3 linked regions of the Caenorhabditis elegans genome follow. The protein of the gene in region 1 purifies or fractionates together with the protein of each later gene. This does not show direct contact. Each region holds a gene or a part of one and is shown on either strand. Other genes may lie near its edges. The genes, in order: spat-3, ZK1053.4 and clec-59.

What was found.
Region 2: the proteins of spat-3 (region 1) and ZK1053.4 fractionate together in Caenorhabditis elegans (co-fractionation; one large-scale study listed by BioGRID). This does not show direct contact.
Region 3: the proteins of spat-3 (region 1) and clec-59 fractionate together in Caenorhabditis elegans (co-fractionation; one large-scale study listed by BioGRID). This does not show direct contact.

Annotation. Positions count from the first base shown.
Region 1 is NC_003284.9:4,604,235-4,607,991, forward strand, and holds the start of spat-3 (E3 ubiquitin-protein ligase RING2 homolog spat-3), read right to left. Parts: upstream 1,695-3,757; 5' UTR 1,663-1,694; coding exon 1,609-1,662; intron 1,420-1,608; coding exon 1,069-1,419; intron 1,022-1,068; coding exon 899-1,021; intron 850-898; coding exon 1-849.
Region 2 is NC_003279.8:13,239,607-13,243,363, forward strand, and holds the start of ZK1053.4 (SET domain-containing protein), read left to right. Parts: upstream 1-2,048; 5' UTR 2,049-2,062; coding exon 2,063-2,212; intron 2,213-2,261; coding exon 2,262-2,384; intron 2,385-2,432; coding exon 2,433-2,561; intron 2,562-2,607; coding exon 2,608-2,869; intron 2,870-3,504; coding exon 3,505-3,757. Other genes in the region: ZK1053.6 (SLC41A/MgtE integral membrane domain-containing protein), read left to right, coding at 1-71, 127-342, 394-821, 956-1,120.
Region 3 is NC_003280.10:10,477,682-10,481,438, reverse strand, and holds clec-59 (VWFA domain-containing protein), read left to right. Parts: upstream 1-1,990; coding exon 1,991-2,030; intron 2,031-2,077; coding exon 2,078-2,196; intron 2,197-2,244; coding exon 2,245-2,358; intron 2,359-2,403; coding exon 2,404-2,603; intron 2,604-2,650; coding exon 2,651-2,847; intron 2,848-2,896; coding exon 2,897-3,417; 3' UTR 3,418-3,435; downstream 3,436-3,757. Other genes in the region: clec-60 (VWFA domain-containing protein), read left to right, coding at 1-108, 270-469, 517-719, 767-1,287; ZK666.4 (Pepsin-I3 domain-containing protein), read right to left, coding at 3,746-3,757.

The sequences.
Region 1 (3,757 bases):
CGGAGCAAACTTTTTTTTCGGCCGTCCACAAGGCTTCTTTTTGCTTTCTTTGATTAGTTTCGTGGCAACCACTTCACCACTAGCATCCTCATCGAAACTTTCATTCGAAACATCTGATCCATCCGTTTTTGGCACGTTCTTTCTTTTCATCTTTCTCTTCTTCTTTTGCAATTCGTTATCTCGAGAATCGTTATCACTTTCACTGGAGTCACGACTTCTATTCGTTGTCTTTTTACTTGTGGAACACGACGGCTTGGACACGTCTTCATTATCAGAAATCTCAAAGTCAGAGTCCAACATGCTCTCTTCTTCATCATCAAGATCAGTTTGTTCCTCATCACTCGACTTAATCTCAATTGGGAAATCCATTTCACCTTCTTCCAATACCTCCTTTTCTGCAGCTACCGAGGTTCCCTCTTTGTCATTTTCTAGATAATTTGTATCATCCTCTTTCGGAGCACCTTTCTTTGATTCCATGACTTTTCTTACAGAGCCATCTTCATCACTCTCGTGAAACCAGCGAATTTTTTTTCTACCAGCAGATTTCAGTGGACGAGGAGCTTTGAGTTTTGAGTTTGGATCGATTCCGTAGCGTTTATTCCAATCACTTCCTCCCTCAATGTAACCTTTTCTTCCAAAGTAGACGTCTTTTTCGTGCTCTCGATTTTCAGCCATCATGCGACCAACAATGGAGCGGCTCTCAACGACCTGATAAATCAGTTGATCAAAACGAGGATCTTGTTGTAGTTCTCTTTTGGATCCCAGGTTCTGACGACACGTCGGACATGTGTTTCCAGATCGCATAAACGCCACAAGAATACACTGGTCACAGAATCGATGACCGCATTTCTGGAATTAAATTATTAATTTTTCATCAACTATAGTTATTAAAAAACACCTTTGTCATAATAGATCCTTGTATAAGTTCTTGGCAAACATCACAGGAAAAACTTCCAATTACTTTTTGCAAATCAGCTTCACATACACTCTTCCCAGGCAGAACATTGTATTTATTGCGGACCTGAAAACCAGTTTTCAAAATTAAAAAAGAAAATGTGTTTCACTAACCGCATCGTATGCATTGAGTGTAAGTTCGCGGCCTTCCATTCTCGCTGGGTTCATGAGCACTTCCTCGAGATCGTAATACTGCTCACTCGTGGTTGGGAGTTTAATCTCCGGTTTACCCTTGTACGAAGGTATTCCTTCCTTCGCTCGTTGGTACAGGCTTTTCGTCTCACTTTCATTACCCGATTCAAGGAGATTCACACGATGACCTTTGTCTCTAGTGGGTGGGCGGACGGGAATAACTCTGGTAATCACTTTTTTCTTTTCACTCGACGGTCTGGACTCTTCGCTTTTTTCTGAAGCTGATGAAACCTCGGAATCACTTGAAGAATCCGATGTGTTTTCTTCGGCGTTCTGAGAAATGGAAAATTAGAGAACAATTTTATTTTTTCCAAATACTTTTTTTGAGTTCAGTTCAAAAAAATCCAGTTTTCAAAATCAGAAAAAAAATCTTTGTAGTTAATCTATTCATTTTATTATTTGCTTATTTTTATCGTTTAAAGGAAATTAGTATTTGAAACAAAAAACATTCTAAAATCCAACCTCAGCCTTATCTCTTGCACTTTTACTTGTGCTCGGTCCAGGAGAATCATCCATTTTTGAGTTCGTGTTGTGCGAATGACTCACACCTGCAACAAGAGTTTACGTTAAGTGGATACCAAAAAATAAAAGAATATTGTAAGAAAAGAGAGTAGGCGACATTTGTATTTGCATAATTTTGTCGAAGATCGCATTAACAAAACATACGGATAGGAAAATATTTGATGTTCAAGAGGCGGAAGGAGAAAGTGCAATGAAATCTTGGGCAAGGTCAACCTTTTCCCAAATGTTTTGTACTAAACAAAAACTTAAAAAAAAACTAAAGAAAACAACATTTTAGGACTTCGAAGCAAAAATAAACATTTTTCGAGGCAAATATCGAGAAATAAAAATTATATATGAACATAACCTTCCTCTTTTTCTATTTTTTTAAAGATTGCGACTTAAAACGTGAGATAATTACTTCAGAACTACATAAATGACCAAAAAAAATTTGCAGAGAGTAACCATTAATGTCCAAGCTAGGCAACTGGACATTACTGGCTGGGAGAGCGGAGGCTGTGTGAAGAGTGAGCGAATGTGAGAGAGTGGAGGGAAGAGGCACTGTGTCTGTGTGCGGTTTGAGCGCCGAGGAGGGGGGAGAGCGGGAAAATGGAGAGGGCAGCGGGTTGTGTGTGTGTGTGTGTGTGTGTGTGTGTGTGTGTGTGTGTGTGTGTGTGTGTGTGTGTGTGTGTGTGTGTGTGTGTGTGTGTGTGTGTGTGTGTGTGTGTGTGTGTGTGTGTGTGTGTGTGTGTGTGTGTGTGTGTGTGTGTGTGTGTGTGGCCCATCTTTCTTTACAGAGTCGATTTCGTTTTCTAGGCCACCCCACCAAACGCGCTGTGCCAAAATGAAATGGTGAACGCGATGTTGGACACCAGTTGGCTTCGCATCTTTTGATTAGCGGAGATTGAAGTGCCTGGTGATAAGTGACACGAATGATAAGATACGAGTGTAGACCAATACAAAAATGTGCTGGCAACTTTCCAAGTTTTTCGTTTTTGGAATATAAATTATTTACTCTTTGGTTCTAAAATTTAATTGAAAAATCGTAAAAGGTGGAGTTGGAAAATTGTTAGAAAACACTCCTACATTTCTAAATTAACCGAACAATAGTAATCATAGTAAAATTTTCCAGAAATTCTAATTTTTAGTTTGAATTCAAAAAATCATTTCAATTTCAAAAAAAGTCATTTCTCAGTTTTCACCACTTTCATTTTGAGAATTAGAAAAAAAACGTATTTTATACGAATTTTATAATTTTTTAGTGTTCAAAAATTAATTGTATCAAAAACAAAGTGTTTACAAAAAATAATGTTCACACGTTACTTGAAATGCCACAAGTTGGTGAAGCTTCGATAGATATATCTCAAAAAAGCTACGCCAAAAAACAATACTTGAATATTAGAAAGTTTTTGTTGTGAAACTTCAAAAATTTAAGAAATGGTAGAACATACGCAAAAAGTAAGAATTTTTGAAAATTCAGCAATGCACCTAAGTGTACCAATCACTTTAAAAATGTTAAAGTGTGATTGATATCCATCTTATAAAACGTCCTTCACTGGGAAAAAATAAATATAAGATCGAAGGAATCGAACCATGGTCTTTTTTTTTGGCAGACGCGCCCACTCCCCACTAGACCACTGAGGGCGATTTCCAATTTGGTTGGTGTCACGTTACGAAAAGTCACGAAGAGAGGAAAATTTCTGATTTGTATGGTGAGATAGTGGATTTCTGTAGAAATTAGTATCGGAATTTATTTTAGAAAAATGAAACGTCATAACTTTGTTGAACTGGCTCCGCAACAGCTCAATATTTTGGAGTGAAAATTAGTCGCACTGTTTTACGGAAAAATAACTATGTCATGTCAAACTGTAGAATCCCATTCTTCTACTCCCTTGATAGGAAATTTTCATTTTAATAATTCGAAAACTACGAGGAAACGAGAAAAATTTAAAAAGGAAAAAAACAAGTAAAATCAGTCCTTCTGAGAAAGACAATTCACACAAGAAGAGGCTACGGTGAAATACAAATATACGCGGACAGATCACTAAATGTAGATCAAAACTTTATTTTTGTGTTAATGAAATGATATTCTATCAAAATGTATCTTTTT
Region 2 (3,757 bases), on another chromosome or scaffold:
GGAAACTGCACTGTTCCTGACGGGATCATCAATTCTCTCGGTTGCACTGAACTGCGCGATCTGTACAACATGTAAGTCTCAATGTCTTAACTTTGAAAATTTTTTATAATATAAAAATTGTTTCAGTCCTCTTCACAATAGTCTACTGTGCTTGGAAGAATGATTACAATCCTGACAACATTGTAGCTCCACTGGGCGCTAGTATCAGTGACATGCTCACAATCGGCTCGATGCTCTTTTTCTGCTATCTTCTTCGTCCATATTCGGGGTTTTCAAGTTCGGTGCCGGTGGTGATTGTTGTGGTGGCAGCGTGTAGCATACCTCTATGGATTATGATAGCATGTAAGTCTCTTTGTCAACTTTTTTGATTTTCGAAAATCTTAAATTTTCCAGGGAACGACGAAGATGCTCTGCGCATTGCCAAGCAACAGTGCTTCACTCTGGCGTTTGCAGCGATGGTCAGCTGTGGTGCGGGTCTACTTCAAAGTAAAGGTGCGATGACCTACCCAAACTACCCAGCATATCAAACACTCATCTCTGGACTCGCTGGAAATCGAGGAGCCGTCCTTGCATCAAGGATATCATCACATCTAGAAGTACACAAGACATCAGACCTGGGATGGAGGCAACGTGCATCGCCAATTAGTTACTACAGATCTGCGAGCTCAGAGTCTAGAACTGCGAGGCTTCTGTTGTTCACGGCGTTACCGTTTCAAATGTTCTTTGTCGGGCTCTCGACTGCAATGTCATTTGTGATTGATGAGCCGGTGGAGACGGATTTCCGGTTTTTCATTGCATATGCACTAGTAGTTTTGATTCAAGTAAGTTGATCGTACTGATGTTACCCCCTGTGTAGGGTTCCTGCATGGTCATAAGCGTAATGTTGGGTTACTGTAGATCAAGATTTGTAGATCTGTGATCAAGACTTTCCACACAGAACCTCCACTTTTTCCAGCAATCCACAATTCTCTACCTGGCCCAGCTGATAGTCTTCGCCTTCTGGTCATTCGGTATTGATCCGGACAATCATGCAATTCCACTTCTGACCTCTGCTGCAGACGTCTGCGGATGCGGATTACTGTACCTCTTGTTCTTATCGTTGGATAAAGGATTTCGGTAGGGATATCACTTTAATCTCAATTTCATGATCAAACAATCTCAAAAACACTAATTTTCAGATGCGTCAAAGTGGAAAGTTTTTGAGTTCGACCACATATGCCAATTTTTCAATAAATATACAAATAGTAAAGTCGAAGATACAATGTGATTGCTTTTTCCTCATTTAAAAAAATTAGCTATGAATAAATTTGTCTCTAAGGCAATTTTTTTTCTCAATTTTTTAGGAATTTACTTATTGTTCATGGGGGCTCAATTCTGACCACAATTATCAACTCAGATTCTTTTCTCTAAAATTCAAATTTGATGAGAATATTGCATTTTCCCATTCTTTCACTGTACTCTTTAAGTGATACCCCCTAATGTTTTGTCTCCCGGGGAGAATAGGTCATTTATTCATACACAGTAGTGTGCCCAAAAAGACGCAGTGACCTGGCCCCTTGCACATTCTGTACATACAACCTTAATAGATACACTAAGAAAGTACTCTCCTCTGGTGGGGACAGTCACATTTTACTGGTCTGCTCTTTTTTGGTATCAGCATGGAAAAACCCCTGTGTTATCAATTATTTTAGATTTGCCAAAAGTTTTCATTTCAGGCAATGTGCCGATTTGCCGGAAATTTTTATTTTGGGCATATTTCCGATTTGCCGGAAAACCCTTTTGCCGCCCACCCTACTACAAAAAATGTATCTAATAATTTTTAATAATACATTCTCCAACAAGACACATCTTTTGTCTCTCTCGGTCAACATTTAAGATCGATATCTTGGGTTGGCAAAAGTGTAGCGTACACAGAGGACCATTGCGTATTGAACGCGTCCTGACCTCCCAAACAGTCGTTACGTCATCGCACTGTTGCCCTCTCTGTCCACTTTTTAACACGTACTGCAATCTCCTTTGTTTTTAAAATATTCTGTTACAAGTTTTTATTTCAGGTCTTGTAATGCAACCATCTACCGTTCCAACGGAAACTTTGCAAAGTCGCATGTCGGGATTCAATGAAAGACTCAAAAAAGCGACGAATGTAACGGAGCAGGTAGCAGTTATGGAGGATATGAAAAAGGATTCAGAAGTGTACGATTCTTGGTCTAAGGTGAGATTGGAATTTAATTTTTATCACGTTTTTATCTCATTTTTTCCAGCATCGACAAGCTCAGCTGAAATACGCTTACACAAGTTTTCCCACAAAGTTTAGAGAAATGATGGGAGGGTCGAGTATTCGTGAAGAAGAAACAGAGGAAATCGATACACAGAATTCTAGCGAGGTAGGCATACAATAAACTATTCAGTAATGCGAATATTCATATTTTCAGACCGAAGAGCCGTCCATCGCCGATGCTATAGCTAGTCGTCAAGAATTTTTGAACAAACTGGTCGAAACCACGGATCAGTTGATAGATATTACTGTAGACAAATTCATTTCTCAGCTGAAAAATTGTCATGTTCGTTTATTAGACTGTCTAATGCTAACTGAAAAAAAAATTTCAGATTAGAAAGCCCGAAACCCCATCAGAACCAAGCCGCGAGGCTTCTCCCGCTCCAAGACTTTCAAGCCCATTTGAAAGAATTATAGACGAGACTACGGAACTTCTAGCAAAATGTGCATCTTCCGGGCCCCCTGATCATTCACTACGGTCATCAATTCTAGAAACTTTATTCAGCGAAATTAAAGGAAAGTCTTCTGATGTTTCGTTAGTAACAATTTCTGAAGAATCAGAAAAATCAGAAGAATCAGAAGAATCAAAAGAAGGTAATTCAGAATTTTTTGTACAAGCAATTTAAAATGTATAAAACATGTTTGGCTAACTATGGGCAGTGTAAGAAAAAGAATTTCAAAGCCATCAAAAAAAAATTTACGCGGAAATTCAAATTTCAATTTTAGCTCACTTTTTTCTTAGCCCACAAGATTTTTCCAATTCTGGCAAATTGACGTTTGCCGGATATCAGATTTGCCGGAAGTGTTCAGAAGGATTTTTTTATAAGACGGAAACACATCAACCAGTGCCATTTTGAAATTTTTTTCCCGGTTTTCTTTAGATATTTTCCCAAAATTTTTTTACTTTTCAATATAGATGTAGGAACATTTATAGGATGCGTACAATTTTACCGATTGAAATTAAAATTCTGAAATTTCCAAAAAAAACTGTGCAAAACCACAATTCGCCGAAAACAGGCAAATTCAGAAAATCGACAAATTGCCGGTTTACCGATTTGCCGGAAAAAAATCGTTTGCTACCCATCCCTGCTGTGAGTTCAAAACGCGCGGCTAGAGACCATTTTGTATAATTGTGCCTCCCTTCAAAATCGTAGAGGAAGAACATGCATAGTACTACGTATAGTATGTTTCAACAGCTGCATTAATTGACTTCAATAGGTAATTTTCAGATAAAGGCTCTCAATCTCTCAACACATCATCGATCTCAACAGAACCTAGTCCCGTGCAAACATCAATTTTGAAACCTCCTCCAATGTATCCTGAGACTGCAAGTTTCCCTCATCGTAAGATACGATCAGGTGCATACTCACTGTATCCACCTCCACAGCCGAGCCAGCAATTCGTTCATTCTCACAATTTTCACCAACCAAAATTTGATGCATCTTCAATGTTATCTACTGGATATTGCCCTTCACGGAATGT
Region 3 (3,757 bases), on another chromosome or scaffold:
GCTAATATTGCTTCAGTCGTCAGTAGTGGTACTCGAATTGGAACAAATCCTTCTGAGCCAAGAACCACAAGACTTGGATTAGTAACCTACAACAAAGCTGCGGCGATTGTAAGATTTTAATTCAATAGTTTTAAGTCACAATTGTTGCATCAAGAAAAACTACAGTAACTTCTTTCATGAACTGGGAATTATTATGTATTTACAAACTTCCACCAACCATACTCCACGTTATCAGTATCAAAATCTTCGAGACATTAAAAATGTTACAGCAAGCCGATCTTAACCAATACCAATCACTCGATGACGTCTACGATAATGTTTTCCGTGCTCTTTCGTCAGTCAGCACTTCCGAAGAGTCATATCTAGCAAATGGGCTTGCAAGAGCAGAAGATGTACTTGAAGCCGGCAAACAAGGGTACAACCGTACTCATTATCAGAGAGTTGTGATTGTCTATGCATCAGCTTACAAGTATGTTCTTTAGACAGTTTGTGCAACCATTTATTGCTTGTCTTTAGGGGATCCGGAGCCTTGGACCCAGTGCCAGTTGCTGAAAGACTGAAAACTTCTGGAGTGACTGTTATTACTGTGGCATATGATCAAGACGGAGACGGTGCTCTTCTTGCAGATCTGGCAAAGATTGCATCTCCACCATACAACTTCACGAATACCGAAGACAACGGGCAAGTTATTGGAGAGATTCAGGATGCTTTGCTGCAAGGTTTGTTAAAGGAACTTATATTATATAGCAATACAAACTATTTTCAGTGAACTGTTTCTGCCGAAACTCGTGGATTCAATACCGTGTATCTTACACTGATGTTCACTCCTACCGCTACGGTGTCTGCATTCTTCCAGTCGGTTTCAATGCGGTATGGCGCGCTGCCAAATCTTCATGCATGAACCGAAATGCATATCTTGTCACTGAATTCGATTCGAACAAACACGATTATGTCCTGACTGCAGTGAGCAATTACACAGGATTCAGTGTACCTCTAACTTATCACAACGGACTCAGTATGGTCAAAGGTGTCTGGGTATGGGATCAACCACAAGGAATGCCTCAACCACAGCTTCAAAGTTATGCAGGATGGAATCCAGGATATCCCATTTCGGACTCTACTCTCACAGGAGTTCTGAATCAACAATCAAGTGTGCAACTGCAGTCTGGATGGCAGAATATCAAGCCACTGACGACTGGAGCCAATTATGTTTGTGAAACGGCATCTTGCGATACTGATAATTACTGCACCGAAGCTGGACTTGCTGAAATTTCCGTAAAACACTAATATACACGATACATACTTGTTGTTGTATAATAATAAATTCTGATTCTACAGACCGTATTTATTTTATTAGTACTGCTTCTCCCTCTTTGTAATAAAAATTTGGAATCCAGGTGTTTCAAACCAACGAATAAGCGGACTTTTGGTGACTGGATGGCAGAATATTAAACCATTCAATGCAGATGTTTGTGAGACTGCGTCTTGTGATACTGATAATTCAACTCTTAGTTTGTGAAGTTAAATTTCTAACAATCTAGCAAAAACTGAAATAAATTTATTCGGCTTTTCTCAATAAATAATTAACTTTCTTTTTTCTCTTTTCGTTTGCTACAACTTAAAAAATTTTTAGCAACACTGTTCACCAATAATTTTGAAGGAAAAATTACGTTAACCAATTGTTTCACAACAAATGAAATCTCCCGTACTTTTTCAATTAGTACGGCATTTCAAAACATTGCAACTACTTTTCAAAAATAGTAGTACGAAAATAAGTTACCAGTGGTGTTATCAGTTAAATAATTCCTCAATACAACAAAGTTTCATCCGTTGGTTTTTTTTGAAAACAAGAGACAGTAATAAGGTGTGTCTGGGATACTTCAATTCAAACATACACTCTGCATCTTGTGTATTATCATTTTAATGAAACTTCCATGTGTATAAAAGAGAGAATGAATTGAGAAAAATAATCATTCATTTGTTTGCAAAAATGAGTAAAAACATTTGTTTGCTCTTCTTCTTGTTTCATGGTAAGTCTTATTTCAATCAATTACCTGCCAAAATTAGTAACTTTTAGCATACCTTTCTTCGTCCTATACGGATCGCATATGTGGACAAGATTTGAGTAATTTATGGTTGGATGTTGTAGCTGTTGTGGATAACTCTGCTGGAATGACCAAGGGAGGATTGACAAGTGTACGGTAATTCTAATCAAATTATTCTATTGAAAAGAGCATATTTCAGGTCGCTGCAAATATTGCTTCCATATTCAGTAAAAATACACAGATTGGCACTAATCCGACAAGTCCAAAGACTACAAGACTAGCACTAGTGACATACAATGTTGATGCCACAACTGTAAGCGTTTCCCTAAACTGTTGTTCCTCATTAGTATTGTTCCAGGCGGCGGATCTAAACAAGTTCCAATCAATTGATGATATCTATAGTGGAATTAACTCTGCTTTGGCAACAATAAGCTCTTCTGAAGAATCATATCTTGCCAGAGGGCTTTCACAAGCCGAGAAGGTTTTTCAAGCGGGAAAGCATGGATTTAACCGTGCTCATTATCAGAAGGTTGTGATTGTATATGCATCTACATACAAGTGAGTTGCATTTTTTGGAATCCCAACTAAAAACCAAAAAATTTCAGAGGAAGTGGAGACTTGAATCCAGTTCCAGTTGCTCAACGCTTGAAAACCTCTGGAGTTACAATTATCACCGTGGCATATGATCAAAATAAAGACGGAGACATTCTTGTTGATCTCGAGAAAATTGCAACTCCTTATCACAATCTCTCGAATGAAAATTTGAATGTTATCGGAGAAATTCAAGGATTTTTACTTCAAGGTATCTCAAACTGAGTTGATTTTATAAAGAAATAACACGTATTGTTCAGCAAATTGCTTCTGTCCAACTTCTTGGATTCAATACCGTGCTTTGCATGATGACGTGGATTCTTACCGTTACGGAATCTGCATTCTTCCAGTTGGATTGACTGCCGTCTGGCGTGCTGCTCAATTATCATGCCGTAATAGATGGAGAAATTCATATCTTCTCAATGAATATGACAACAGGAAACACAATTTTGTTATATCATCTGTCAAAAACTTCTCTGGTTTCCATTTTCCATTAAGCTATCACATCGGACTGAACAAGGTCAATGGAATGTGGCAGTGGGATCAGCCACAAGATTGGACACAACCACAACTTCAGAACTATGAAATCTGGAATTCAGGATATCCAATATCTGATTCCTCGTTGACAACTGTTTTGAATCGACAGACAACTGTTGATTTGGAAATTGGATGGCAAAACGTTCATCAATTCGCAGCTGCCTCCAACTATGTATGTGAAACTGCTGCTTGTGACACTAATAACTACTGTTCCTCTGGAGGTGATTCCATTTCAAACCATTAGTTTTATATGTAATTTATTATTATTAATGTTGATTTTCTTCATACTATGTACAATTGTTGTCAAACAAATAAATTCAATTCTTTGATTGCTTTTAATTTAATGAATAAAATTGTGAGACAAACTTTAACGATCTTTCAGTTATACTGATTAATTTATTGATTAGGAATTAGAAAGGACAACAATAAAAAACACGGGAAATTTTGCTTTAAGCGGAAAATTACAAAATATTGAACAAGATAAAAGGTAAGAAAAAATAAATAAATGACCGGCAAATGAAAAGTACAGAAAACAAATTGGCACTTGGAGAGTTGTAAGAGTTAATGAGAAATTATTGAAACTT